Linked DNA regions of Caenorhabditis elegans. The protein of the gene in region 1 interacts with the protein of each later gene in a pairwise test. Each region holds a gene or a part of one and is shown on either strand. Other genes may lie near its edges. The genes, in order: pccb-1, mmad-1 and C29F9.5.

Region 1 (4,407 bases):
AAAAGTGACAATCGCACGTGGTGTCAGAATGTCCCATTTCGTTGTGATCTACCAAAACTGCGGGAATTTAGACGCAGACTTCTCAACTGGTCTCGCATGGTTAAGAATGAGCTGACGTCACATTTTTCGGGGAAAAAATTCCCGCATTTTTTGTAGATCAAACTGTTATGGGACAACCTGACACCACGTGCAATCGCTCAGTTTTTGCACTCATAACTTTGGAAGTCGACCAAAAAAAAAGTTCTACGATTTTTATACTTTAAATTTGATTTAATTATTTGTTGTAAAACATTTTAGGGGTTAGAACATGCAATATTGCTCTGTGTTTCCTCAAAAGCTCTTTTTTGTTATTTGGCAGATTGCTAAAACATTAAAAAAATCTAAAATTTTCTGGTTGGTTTTATTATAATCTCCGATTTTTTTCAAAACATAAACATAGTTCAAATAATGGAACAAATCTATATTGTGAACAAAAGTGAGGAAAAATTTTATAAGTTAATGTTGTAACAATAAAGATTACAAAACTATTTCCAAAGTTTGTCTTCTCTCAGATATTTTTTGTTTCCATACACTATTTTAGTGCAAAGAGCAAAAAAATTTTCAACAAAGTTTCTGAGAGAAATTCTAGAAAATGTTACTTTGGAGTGATTTGGGAATTTTTAAAGTTTTGAAAATGTACCATATTTTGCATGTAGAATGCCACATTTTTTATCAAAAATGAGCCTAATGTTTTGAGAATTTTTAAAAAATCCTTTCGATGCATTTAAACATTTTCTATCAGGTTTCTACTTATATCGTGTTATCGTTTACTTTTTCCTTTTCAATTTGAAAAACCAAAGACATCACTTTTGTTATTCTCTCTACTTTTTCTTTTGAAGAACCTTGATTCGCAGGACATGTTTCAATGAAGTCGGAGAAGGTAAGAGAAAAGTGACAAGTGGTCTACAACGTTTGTTTTCAATTTGCGACACTGCACGCACAAAAACGCTCCGTTGAGAACCGATTTGATCTTGCTCTACGGCGTACAGTTTTGTGTTGTTATTATGTTGTTTTGATGTTGTTTCGATGGTCCGTCAATATCGACTGTCCTTCACAGTTAGTCTTCGAGCGGTGGTCTCTTGTGTCGCCTTTTTTTCTCATTTGTCCTCCCCCCCTTTACCACTGCGCAAATAGATTTGGGATCTAATGTATGTAAGTGCGCTCTACCGCAATCAATGGGTTTCTCCAAACAAATGCCCTTGCCATTTGAGAAACGAAACAGAATCTCTTGAAAACATTTCTGATAACCGATTCGTTTTAGTTTTCTACAATCAACTTCAAAGAATAATCATTATCTATCGATTCACTGATATAATTCTCGTGTTGTGACCTTATCAATCGACAAACAAGTCGATTACTCTGAATGTTCACATCAAAAACTCCTCACCCGTATTGCCGGCGTTAAAGTGAAAATCTTGAAACGATGGTAAACTATTATTTTTTGTTTTGTTGCCTACGTGCTGGCCCCCGACGTGTCCATCTCTATCTCTCTTCCCCGTGACCGTGGTGTGCACTGCTGCCGGGCGCGTTTCTCCCCGTCCTGTTCTCCTCACATCCCTTTCTGCGCGCTGCAATCTTCTAAATGTCACGCACACAGCAAAGTTGCACTACACTTGTTGGGACCTTCTTCTCTCCGAGCATTGACCGCTCAGTTTTTGTCCTCCCTTTTTCTCTTCTTACTCAAATTCTTTTTATTTTTCTTATCTACATTTGAAAAACGTTTCTTACTTTTCACTTTTTGAGAGCTTTGGGTATGTTGTCCCGATTTGCCCGTCAACTGGCGCTGCCAGTTTTCAACGGAGTTCTTCATGTGAGTTTATATTAGGAAATAAGTATAGGAAATAAGTTATAATGAACTATATTTTTCAGCCAACTCGAGCCACCAGTTCGATCGCTCATACCATCAAGGTTGCCCATAAGATCGATGAGACCAGAGAGAAAGCTCTTCTCGGAGGTGGAAAGAAGCGCGTCGACGCTCAACATGCTCGCGTAAGACATTTTTCCAAAAAAAAAAACCTACTTATATGAAAAAATTTTGCAGGGAAAGCTAACAGCTCGCGAACGCATTGATCTTCTTTTGGATAGAAACACCTTCAGGGAGTATGACATGTTTGCCGAGCACACCTGCAACGACTTCGGTATGCAGAAAGAGAAATATCCTGGAGATTCGGTTGTCACTGGACGTGGAGAAATCAACGGACGTACCGTCTTTGTTTTCTCCCAAGACTTCACTGTTTTCGGAGGATCTCTGTCATCCATTCACGCCAAAAAGATCGTCAAGATCATGAGAGAGGCCATGCTTGTCGGAGCCCCAGTCATCGGACTCAATGACTCCGGAGGTGCCCGTATCCAGGAAGGAGTTGAGTCGCTTGCTGGGTATGCCGATATCTTCCAAGAGAACGTGATGGCTTCTGGTGTCGTTCCTCAAATCTCTATGATTATGGGACCATGTGCTGGAGGAGCCGTCTACTCGCCAGCTCTAACCGACTTCACTTTCATGGTTCGTGATACCTCCTATTTGTTCATCACTGGCCCAGATGTTGTCAAAGCTGTTACCAACGAGGAGGTCACCCAGGAGGAACTTGGAGGAGCTAAGACTCACACTGTCACCTCTGGAGTCGCTCACGGTGCTTTCGACAACGATGTTGATGCGCTCATGAGCCTCAGAGAGCTTTTCAACTATCTTCCACTCTCCAACACTGATGCTGCTCCAATCCGTGCTGCTGAGGATCCATGGGACAGAGCTGTTCCATCTTTGGATACTGTTGTTCCATTGGAAAGCACTGCTGCCTACAACATGAAGGACGTTGTTCACGCTCTTGTCGACGAGGGAGATTTCTTCGAGATTATGCCAGACTACGCCAAGAACTTGGTCATTGGATTCGCCAGAATGAACGGACGCACTGTCGGAATTGTTGGAAACAATCCAAAGTTTGCTGCTGGATGCCTTGATATCAACTCTTCCGTGAAAGGAGCTCGTTTCGTCCGATTCTGCGATGCTTTCAACATCCCAATCATCACTTTGGTTGACGTTCCCGGTTTCTTGCCAGGTAAATTTTCCCGATTGAAAGTATTTCAAATATTAAATCAAATATCTTTTCAGGAACTGCCCAAGAGTACGGAGGTATCATCCGTCACGGAGCCAAACTTCTCTACGCTTTTGCCGAGGCCACCGTTCCAAAGATTACCATCATTACTCGCAAAGCCTTCGGAGGAGCTTACGATGTCATGTCATCAAAGCATCTTCGTGGAGACATCAACTACGCCTGGCCAACTGCTGAGGTTGCTGTGATGGGAGCCAAGGGTGCAGTCTCCATTCTTTTCCGTAATGATAAGGAGCACGCCGTTCAACACGAGGAGGAATACACTGAGCTGTTCAGCAACCCGTTCCCAGCCGCTGTCAGAGGATTCGTCGACGACATTATCATTCCATCAGAGACCAGAAAGAAGGTGTGCGAGGATTTGAACATGCTTGAAAGCAAGAAGTTGAAGAACCCATGGAAGAAGCACGGAAACATTCCACTCTAAATTTCCAGCACTACCCACTCCGCCTTAATCCATACTATTATGTTGCCATTTCACCGGCCTGCTCGGTATTTGACGTGTTTACTTGTGAATTTTCATCCCACATACAAAATGCGCCATTTGCGTATTCCAATTGTTCGAGTATTATTTCCTTTTTCCGTTTTTTTGTTTTGTAAAGTCATAATTGAAAATTGTATTTATTACTGTTCTCAGATAAATAGTAGATTTTTGTGTTATTAGTACGAGCTTTCGAAATGGGACAAATGAAATCATATGTGATAATTGAGGCTAGCTAGTTGGCGCTTTTAGAGGACTCCGAAAAATTTGGCAACACTGGTTAGAATGGCACGCTGGACTGGTGGGATGACCTGCTCAACATCTTCTACGCTTGGAATTTGAAGCTTTGGAAGATCCTCAAGTTTTGGGAGGGTCATTGGTGGAAGTGTAGATGTCATTTGAACCGGCATTTGTGGAAGAGCACCAATTGGCATTTGTGGAACTCCTGCTGCTGCTGCTACTCCTGGCTGAGCGACAACTTGTGGAGCTTGGAACATCATTGGTTGTGGGAACTGTGGGAGTGGGGCAAATCCAAGTTGTTGCTGTGGCTGAGCTGGTTGCTGCTGTTGCTGTGGTTGTGCTTGTTGTTGCTGCTGCTGCTGCTGCATCTGTTGTTGTTGCTGCTGCTGGTTAGCATAAACTGGAAAATGGGATATATCTCATTGTGATTCTGAAATTAGGCGATGCTAACCTTGTTGCTGGAATGCTTGGTGCTGTTGTTGAAGCATTGCGGCAAATGGGTCTTGGTAGTATTGTGGCTGAGGTTGCTGTTGAGCATATTGTGGA
Region 2 (4,741 bases), on another chromosome or scaffold:
TTTAAAATTTTTCTTTAAAAAAATTTATACAAATAGATTAAAGAACTGGTTTATTTGGAAAAAACTTTTCGAATTTTGAAAAAAATCCAATTTTCAAACCTTCATCGGTTTTTTTCTCAAATTTTCAACTTTTCCCTCTAAAAATAATATTTTCAGTCTCTGTTAATTTTGTGAATATAGCTTTACTTGTTTTTCTTCCCATTTTCATCACTCACACCATTTCCCCCGAATCCCCGTTTTTCCCCACCAGCTCCTCACTTTGATTTGTTCAATTTATTATGCACACGGGTCCCCAAAATCCCCCTAAAATTATTCCGAGATATTCTTGTACCATTTGACATGTAAATATATATATATATATACTCCATTTTATTTTCCTACTGAAAATTTGAAAATTTCCAGATTTTTATAGAATTTCTATACATAGTTGTCTTGCACCATAAAATGAAGCGATCTTGTTTATAACTTTAAAAATTATTTTTTTAAATGTGGTCCAAAACCCCTTGTTTCAGATATTTTGCTAAATTTTATAACTCGATTTTTAATAATTAATTTCTGAAAAAAAAAGTCCGAGTGCCAGCTCCTCCCACTTCTTGGCTACCATTCAAATTTGGCTTTTTGAGACAATTTAGAGAAAATTTTATTTCCGATTACTAACTGGAAGGTTTCAAAAACTTCAAAAATATGCGATAAATAATTTTATTAAAGAAAAACCGTTCGAAAACTCAAAATTTTGAAAAAAAAGCTCGAAAATCGATATTTCTTTTTTGCAATTCTAAAAGTGTTTATTCTTTTTTAGAAAATTTTCAAAAAATATCGAGAACCTAAAATTGCATTCTTGGGTTCCAACATCACGAAAGTCCACTGAAAAAAACTCCGAAGTGGACTTTGAAAATCCGAAAACTTTCTATTCGCCTCTAGACAATTCTTTTTCACGTGCAACAACTGTGACCCTTCTTTCATCGTTACACTTGTTGTCTTTTCGCTCTCTTTTCTTGAATTGTTGCACTTCTCACGTTCACCCAACAGATTTTAAATCAAAACAAAAAAGTTGGCTTTGAACAAGACTTCGAAGACTTTCAGATTATTTCAGGCTTTTTAATGATAGTAAATTTGGATTTTTGGATTTTTTTTAACTTTTTGGCTTTAAATCTTTTCAAAGATTATTTTTAAATTTTATTTTCTTTTTGAATTTTTAAATTTCTCGAGTTTTCGAACTTTTGGAAGAATTCTAAGAATCGTTGTTCTTGTCTCGGTTTTTTATGTATTTAAACCTTTTTTATTTTGTGAAAAATTCGGAGAATGCGTATTAACTAACATATTTAACGCGCAAAATATCTTACGAGATAGTAATTCTCGAACACTATAGTAATTCTTTAAATTACTACTGTAGTGTCGATTTACGGGCTCAAATAGTGAAAAAAAAAATTATTTGCGAATAGTGGGAGTTACTTTGTTTTTTCGTATTATTATCTCTTTTTTTGCTTAGTTTTAATGTTCTATCGATAAATAAATGTTTTTTAAATCGAGGCCGTATATCGACACAATCGCTACAGTAGTCATTTGAAGAATTACTGTAGTTTTTGCAACGAGATGTTTTACTCGTTGAATATGTTGCACAGTACGCAATCTTAGAATTATGTGTTTAATACTCAAACACAATAAATTAACAATTTAGGTCAAAGAAAAAAAAGAAACACTTTAAGATTACTGTACTTCTTAAAAGTACACGCCTTTTTGATGATATAATCAATATGTCACAAGGTTGAAAAATAGAAACAAAAAATTAGGAATTTAGATAACAACTAATTTGATCAGTAATTACTAGTGTTCTCAGTAATAATAATAATAATAAAGTTCACATGATTCGTCGCGCTCGTTCTTCGGTTTCCCTTTTCTCGTTTTCTCGGCGGTCTCCCCAATTTCAGTGTTCTCTAACCGTCTGCGTAATTCTCCCTCTAGCTGTCACTCAATTTCCAACAAACATGTCTTTCAATATTTTCTTCGTTTTTTCTTGCCTTATTGATTTCTTTCGAATTAAAAGTAAAATTTTAAATTAAAATACAAGTTTTGTTGCAGGATGTTGTCCGCCAAAGGTCCCCAAATGCGTGCGTTTACCCAACGTGTTGCCGCATTTTCAACGCAGGTGAGAGTTTGGATAATGGCTGAAAAATTGCAGATTTTATCGAAAAATCTTTTGTTTCAGAAAAATTAATTTCTTTTTGATTTACCGAATAATTCAATTTTTCTTTTGAAAAAAAGTAAGCGTTTTAGCTGCTTATGTGCTGAAAATCATAAAATTCAAATTTTCAGCTCCAAATCGACCCAATTCCAATCGTGTTCGTCGGAAAGGGCACAACTCGTAAGAAATTCAAAATTTCGATCGACATTTTCACAATTTTTCCACATTTCAGCTCGCCAAAACTCGCTTCTCGGCCCAAATGACAGTCAGTACCCGTTCCAGGGAGACGTCTCGTTTGCTCACAAGGTAAATTTCTGAAAATTGATTTTCCAAACAGACACCCAAAATTATCTGATTTTTTACTCCAAAATCAAATTTCATGTAAAAAATTTGAATTTTCGAAAATTTACCCATTTAAAATAATTCCAATTTAATTTTAAATTTTTTCAAAAACTCAAAATTTGCAGCCATTGAGCATCCGCCAACAAGTGGAAAACTCAAAAATCGAGCGTGTGATGGACGATACGGAGCACAATTTGATCAATTTGCTCTCCAATACAAATATCGAAGTTGACCGTACACATTTGGCTCAATTGAAGGAAGAAGCAATGGAAGAGATTCAGGCAAATGCGGCTGACGTTGAGATTGAACTTTCCGCTATTGAAGCACCAAAGTTGCTCAAAAAAGGTGAGCTGGAAAGCTGGGATTTATAGAAATTCTGAAAATGAACTTTTAAAAAATTAGTCTTTCAAAAAATCGGAAATTGAGATTACGTTCGAGTTAATATTAGTGAAAAATTGAAAAAAAAAATGCTTTGCAGAACTATATTTAGCAGGGGTGTGCGGTAAATTTGGTAAATCGACTTTTTAAAAAATTTACCGTGGTCGTCATACTCGGCAAATCGCAATATTTGTGAAGCTCAAAAAGTGAATTTAAAATTTATTTTGAATTTAAAACTCATAAATTCAAAAATCATTTTTTTTTCCAGAAATGAAATACCTATTCCCACAAATGGAGACTCAAAAGATGAACAACGTGACCGTGTTCAATCTAACTCAAAAGTCAGAATTCGACATGAAAGCATGGAGTGAAGCAATGGAAGAGGAACGTGAAAAGCTCACCGCCTCATTCATCATGTCCGCCAACGCGATTTGCTCAACTCTCCATCGTTTCGGCTATTGGGCTGATTTCATTGATCCATCTTCCGGCCGCCCGTATATGGGTGATTACACCAATCATACACTTTTCGAGACCAATGACGCCTACAAACAAATGGGCTTCAAGATTGAAGACCTCGGATGCTGCAAAGTTCTGCAACACGCATGCTGGGGATCCAACGCATTTGTGGGAACTATTTTCACTGATGCTCCTGTTGATGGGGATGCCGTCAGGGATATTTTGAAGAAGGTTACTCAGGAGGTACAGGATGTTGGAATTTCTGAAACCGAATTTTTGAAAAAAAAAAACGTAAAATTATGTTTGAAAAAATTTATTTTGATGTTCTTCCTGCTATCTAATAATGATAATCATTTTTCAGATTTCCAAAAAAAGGACGAAAATTATGTTTTTATTTCTGGGATTCTACAAAATTTCAGAATTTCCTTACATTTTGTAATTTTTGTACGATTTTCGACTTCACAAAAAATAAAACAAAGTCTTAAAAAAGGTCGCTCTTTCAAAAACCAAAGAGATATTTTATTGAATAAATTTTCGACTTCCTTAAATAAAAAAGTTAATTTTTTTAGATTGACGAATAGAGATTCCATCGAGCAATTTTCCAGTAGAAGCCCCGCCCACAATATGCCATAAATATGAGTCGATTCTCCTTCCATTTTGCACCCGTTGTCCCTCGCTCCACGTATTTTCTAATTTTTTTTTGTCTGTAAAATTTTTAATTTAGACTAAAAATTTGCGGTTTTCAAATGAATGAAATTTGCAAGCAAGCACTGTCTCGAAATTGTAAATAATTTAATGGTTGTTTTTTAGAAAAAAATAAATGTTTGTTAGAATCCACAATTCACTTGTTGTCACCTTTTCAAGTTACTGATCTGACGGTATTTTTTAAAGTTTTCTTCTTTTTTGAACTTTTAAAGAAATTGGTTTAAGCTGGAAATTTGAATTTTCTAGCAAAAAAAAACATACCAGATGACGATCATCAGTGAGGAGGACGAGGCGGACGTCTACACGTCGCAGCGATCAGAACCCCCAGAGACACGGATTTTCGAGACGATGGGGTTTTACTGGAAACGGATTATGGTTTGTGCAGAATTTTTTTTTGCTTAAAATAATTTCGTGGCCGTGTTTTGAGAAAAACTCGGTCACAGGTTTTTTTCGTGATCGCTTCTAATTTTACAAAAAACTTTGAATACCCTACATAGTAAAAAAGTTTGTAGAAAAATAAGTGCTTTTCAAGAAAAAATACATTTTTAAAATGCAATTTTAAAAACACTTCCTAAAAAAACCACTTTTTCAGAAAACCCTACCTACATTCACCACCCAAATTGTGTTAATCTTCTGTGTTCTGCCCATCTCATTCTCCATCGCCATCTTCCTCGCCAC
Region 3 (3,715 bases), on another chromosome or scaffold:
ATTTTGCAGATCGCTGAGCAATGTCCTGTTCCGCAGTGCTCCACGATGAAGGAGGTGATCGGGCATATGATGACGTGTTGGAATGGGTTTCAGTGTCCCTGTAAGTTCAGAAGAGCCCCCCCCCCCCCCCCCCCAATAGTAACCTTATCCCTTCAATTTCAGCCGAACACTGCACTTCGTCTCGTATGGTCATCCACCATTGGACACGCTGTACCAATGCGGAATGCCCGATTTGTGGAGCACACAGGACTGCACAGAATATGAACGCGTTGAGCACAATTCCTATCGTCAAGGATCCCGAGCCAAGACCTCCAGGAACCTCACAACCGTGGCACAGTGAAGTTCCGAAAACCGATAGAGAGGCAGTTATTGAGAGAATCTCCAAACACATCATGCTCCATCCGCAAAGATTCGAGCCAATTTGGAAGATAAAGGAGGACGCGAGGGCTGCTGAGCTTCAGATTTTTGAAGCAGCGGGGAGTAGGGATGAGTACTACCGCATGGTTGAGGAGCGAGCTCCCCGCGAGCAGGACAAAGCTCCTGAGGGCCCTGGCCAGGAGGCACAAAAAGAGGAGAAGGGGGCTGGAGGTAGACTTTTAGTCAGGTGTAATTTAAGTAATATGGAAGATTTTCAGAGGAAGATCCTGATGAGGTGTTTGATCATATGGAAGGCACTTCCAAGGACTTCCAGGGCTCCACAGACTGATGATCGCCAGCTTCACAGAATCTCAAATTGCAATACTTCTCATTTTAAGGACTTCTTTACAATGACTTTTTCTTATGTTAATTGACATTTTTATATCATTGCTCAAAAAAAGTATAGAAAACCAGTAGAATAAAAAAACAAAAAAAAATTTTGTTCAGAACTGGGTGAAGGGCTACTTGAAACTTCAGTATTTGGAAAAAAGTAAAAAATTCTGAAAGAACCTTTTCAGTAGATTCTTAGTCGGCTTCAGCATCACAGCTTTGGTCCCTTTGCACCACAATTGCCCCCATGGCCTTGCGGGGAATCTAGGAGGTACGGGACCCAGGAGGTACGGGCCCCCACAGGTATGGTCCTCACAGGAACGGGCCCACATGTACGGGACCTAAGAGGTACGGGTCCCTACACGAGCTCCACAGACATGGTCCTTTCGGGTACGGGGTCCACAGGAACGAGAACCACAGATATGGCCCAAAAAGTACGGCCTCACATCTACTGCCCCTACAGCTACAGGCTTCCGAAGATTTAGCCCCACACGTACGGGCCCCACAGCTTCGGGCCCACAGCTTCAAGCCCCTAATAAGCTATGGTCCCTTCCAACACAGACAAAGCTCTTGGGCTCGCGGTCCTTATCATTCTGCTCCAACACGCCATGCGTGGGCCAGCTCCACATTATCACCCGTCATTCAAAACGGTTCCAGATACTTTGTCCAAAAACTCGTTCAAAATTGCGATACATATCACGCAACACACTTTTTATGGGAAAATGTGTGATTGAGAAACACAAGCCGGTGCCGGGGGGGTCTCCCGCTCTGTGTCTCTGAGACTCCTATACATTTACTGTGTATATTGAATAAAATCAATGTATGTGTGTCCAATTTTGCGTGGGCTTGGTACAGCTCATTCATAGCGTGACACTGGTTCCAGATACTTTGCCAATTGGTGTATTTAAAGAAGTGTGCCAAATTATTTCATTCATTTCCTTAAATTTTCTTTTAAAATTTGAAATTCGTTGCGTTTTCAGCATCTCCTGGTTCTACTCCAACTTTTGACCCATTCTAGAAATGTCGGAATCCCTTGAGGAAGCGCTTAGTAAGTTACGATCCTTCGCACCTCTAATCTCGCCTGAACCTTTCAGTCGAGGACCTCTCCAATCTCCGAATCTGTGTTACCTCCGATAACGTCCAGCAACAACCCAGGGTCTCAACAGCCACGATGAACACGCTGATCTCCCGTCAACTAGGGCTTCTGCTTCACGCCCACGAGTGTGTCCGTCGGGATATTGTGAGTTTCTGGGCTCCCGGGGGTTCTAAGAAATATTTTACAGAAAATCCGTGAAGCTGCCGAGAAGAACGAGCCGGCTCCTCATGCAATGTGTAAGATTCAGGATTGTGTGATCATGAAGGAGGTGCTGAAGCATATGACGTCGTGCAAGGAAGGACCCAAGTGTAACTGTGAGTGAAAATAGATGAAGGATTGCTAAAAGGATCTAGACGGTGCCGCGCTTGAGTTTCAGCAGGCTGAAATGACCCTGAGCCTTGTAAGTCTGGTCCCATGCCTGACCCTACATCATAGCCTGATCCTAAGTCTAAGACTAAGCTTAAGCCTAAGCCTAAGTCATGGCCTAAGCCTAAGTCATAGCCTAAGCCTAAGCCTAAGCCTAGGCCTCAGCCTAAGCCTAAGCCTAAGCCGAAGCATAGGTCTTTCCTCTAAAACCCACAAACCCTGAAATTCCAGCGGTCCACTGTGCTTCCTCCCGCACCATCCTCAGCCATTGGAAGAAATGCTTCAACGAGGAATGCCCAGTGTGCAAGCCGATTATTGAGCAGCGGACTGCTCCTCCTCAGGGTAACTATTTGAGATTCTACCCCACCGGCTCAGTAAATCGGCCTATTCTTTCAGACACCACCCCTGCGGAGCCCAAAAAACCAGAACACGACCAGATCTGGCACCTGGAAGTCCCCAAAACCTACCGAAGCGAACTCATCGAGAAGATCTACAAGGGAATCATGTCCAATGTGAAGCCGGGTACCCTGTCCGAGGCCCAAATGGATACCTGGAAGGAGTACTCGAGATCTGCGGAGCTTCAGATCTTCGATACCGCCCAAAAGCTGGAAGCGTACTACCATATGGCTAGAGAGAAGGTTTGCCGCTACCAGGAAGGATTTCCAAGACGTCAGAAGACGGAGGAGAAGGATGAAAGTGATGGTTCAGAGAAGGAGGATGAGGCTGACGATCGCTTGGAGGGGACTTCCACGGACTACCAGGGTTCCTAATCACCTATCAAAAGATTTCATGTTCAATTGACCAAATCACTACTGTAGTGGCTGAATTTACCAACTGTTAGTACAAGAATCTTAACCATGTCTCTTGTAGCTTCGTTTAACCTAGTGTTTCCTGAACTTTGTATCCTTGGAATTTTTTTTTGAAATAAATTACTCTCTGGCATAATTCATTTGTTTTCAATTTTGATGCAGAAGACTCGAAGTGGAAAGACCTTAAATAAACAAAAAAACATAACCAAGGTCACGGGGAACACCTGGTGTTCTTTTTTTCACTACGGATTACATGTTAATTAATAACATCTAAGTTTACATGTTAATTTGTAGGTCCCTAGCCGTGTAAAAGACTGAAAAAAGCGTTTTTTCTGCAACACCTGATCATGGAAAATTATAATTTTTTATAAAAGAGGTTTTACAGATTTTATTACTGGTGGATGAGCGGCGCGATTCTGCATTCAATTGATATTAACTATAATCCAGTTGTTGTATGTTGTTGTTGTAAAATGGCGCCCCTTCTTTTTGTTTGCGAAAGCCACCTCAAATATTCGATTACTCCAATGGTATCCTTGTTCATTCTTCAATAATTTCTCATAAATTTTCACTTGAACATTGCATTTTAGTGCCTTTTGGGGAAAAATACACAATTTTCATTGATTTTCACATAAAATATGAAGTTTTATGAGAGAATTTGAGAATTTTCGAAGCGATTTCGAACAGTTTATGAGTAACG

Evidence for each region.
Region 2: the proteins of pccb-1 (region 1) and mmad-1 interact in a two-hybrid assay, tested with the Caenorhabditis elegans proteins (one large-scale study listed by BioGRID).
Region 3: the proteins of pccb-1 (region 1) and C29F9.5 interact in a two-hybrid assay, tested with the Caenorhabditis elegans proteins (one large-scale study listed by BioGRID).

The regions. Positions count from the first base shown.
Region 1 is NC_003284.9:3,088,645-3,093,051, forward strand, and holds pccb-1 (Propionyl-CoA carboxylase beta chain, mitochondrial), read left to right. Parts: upstream 1-1,782; 5' UTR 1,783-1,792; coding exon 1,793-1,849; intron 1,850-1,908; coding exon 1,909-2,028; intron 2,029-2,080; coding exon 2,081-3,089; intron 3,090-3,142; coding exon 3,143-3,567; 3' UTR 3,568-3,793; downstream 3,794-4,407. Other genes in the region: wrt-2 (WaRThog (hedgehog-like family)), read right to left, coding at 3,870-4,261, 4,313-4,407.
Region 2 is NC_003281.10:13,546,344-13,551,084, reverse strand, and holds mmad-1 (Methylmalonic aciduria and homocystinuria type D homolog, mitochondrial), read left to right. Parts: upstream 1-2,079; 5' UTR 2,080-2,080; coding exon 2,081-2,146; intron 2,147-2,313; coding exon 2,314-2,362; intron 2,363-2,414; coding exon 2,415-2,488; intron 2,489-2,649; coding exon 2,650-2,869; intron 2,870-3,170; coding exon 3,171-3,601; intron 3,602-3,927; coding exon 3,928-3,939; 3' UTR 3,940-4,196; downstream 4,197-4,741. Other genes in the region: Y76A2B.4 (uncharacterized protein), read left to right, coding at 4,328-4,438, 4,656-4,741.
Region 3 is NC_003281.10:115,789-119,503, forward strand, and holds C29F9.5 (histone acetyltransferase), read left to right. Parts: upstream 1-1,721; 5' UTR 1,722-1,767; coding exon 1,768-1,795; intron 1,796-1,841; coding exon 1,842-1,987; intron 1,988-2,030; coding exon 2,031-2,157; intron 2,158-2,440; coding exon 2,441-2,551; intron 2,552-2,605; coding exon 2,606-2,979; 3' UTR 2,980-3,126; downstream 3,127-3,715. Other genes in the region: C29F9.6 (histone acetyltransferase), read left to right, coding at 10-100, 163-588, 636-706.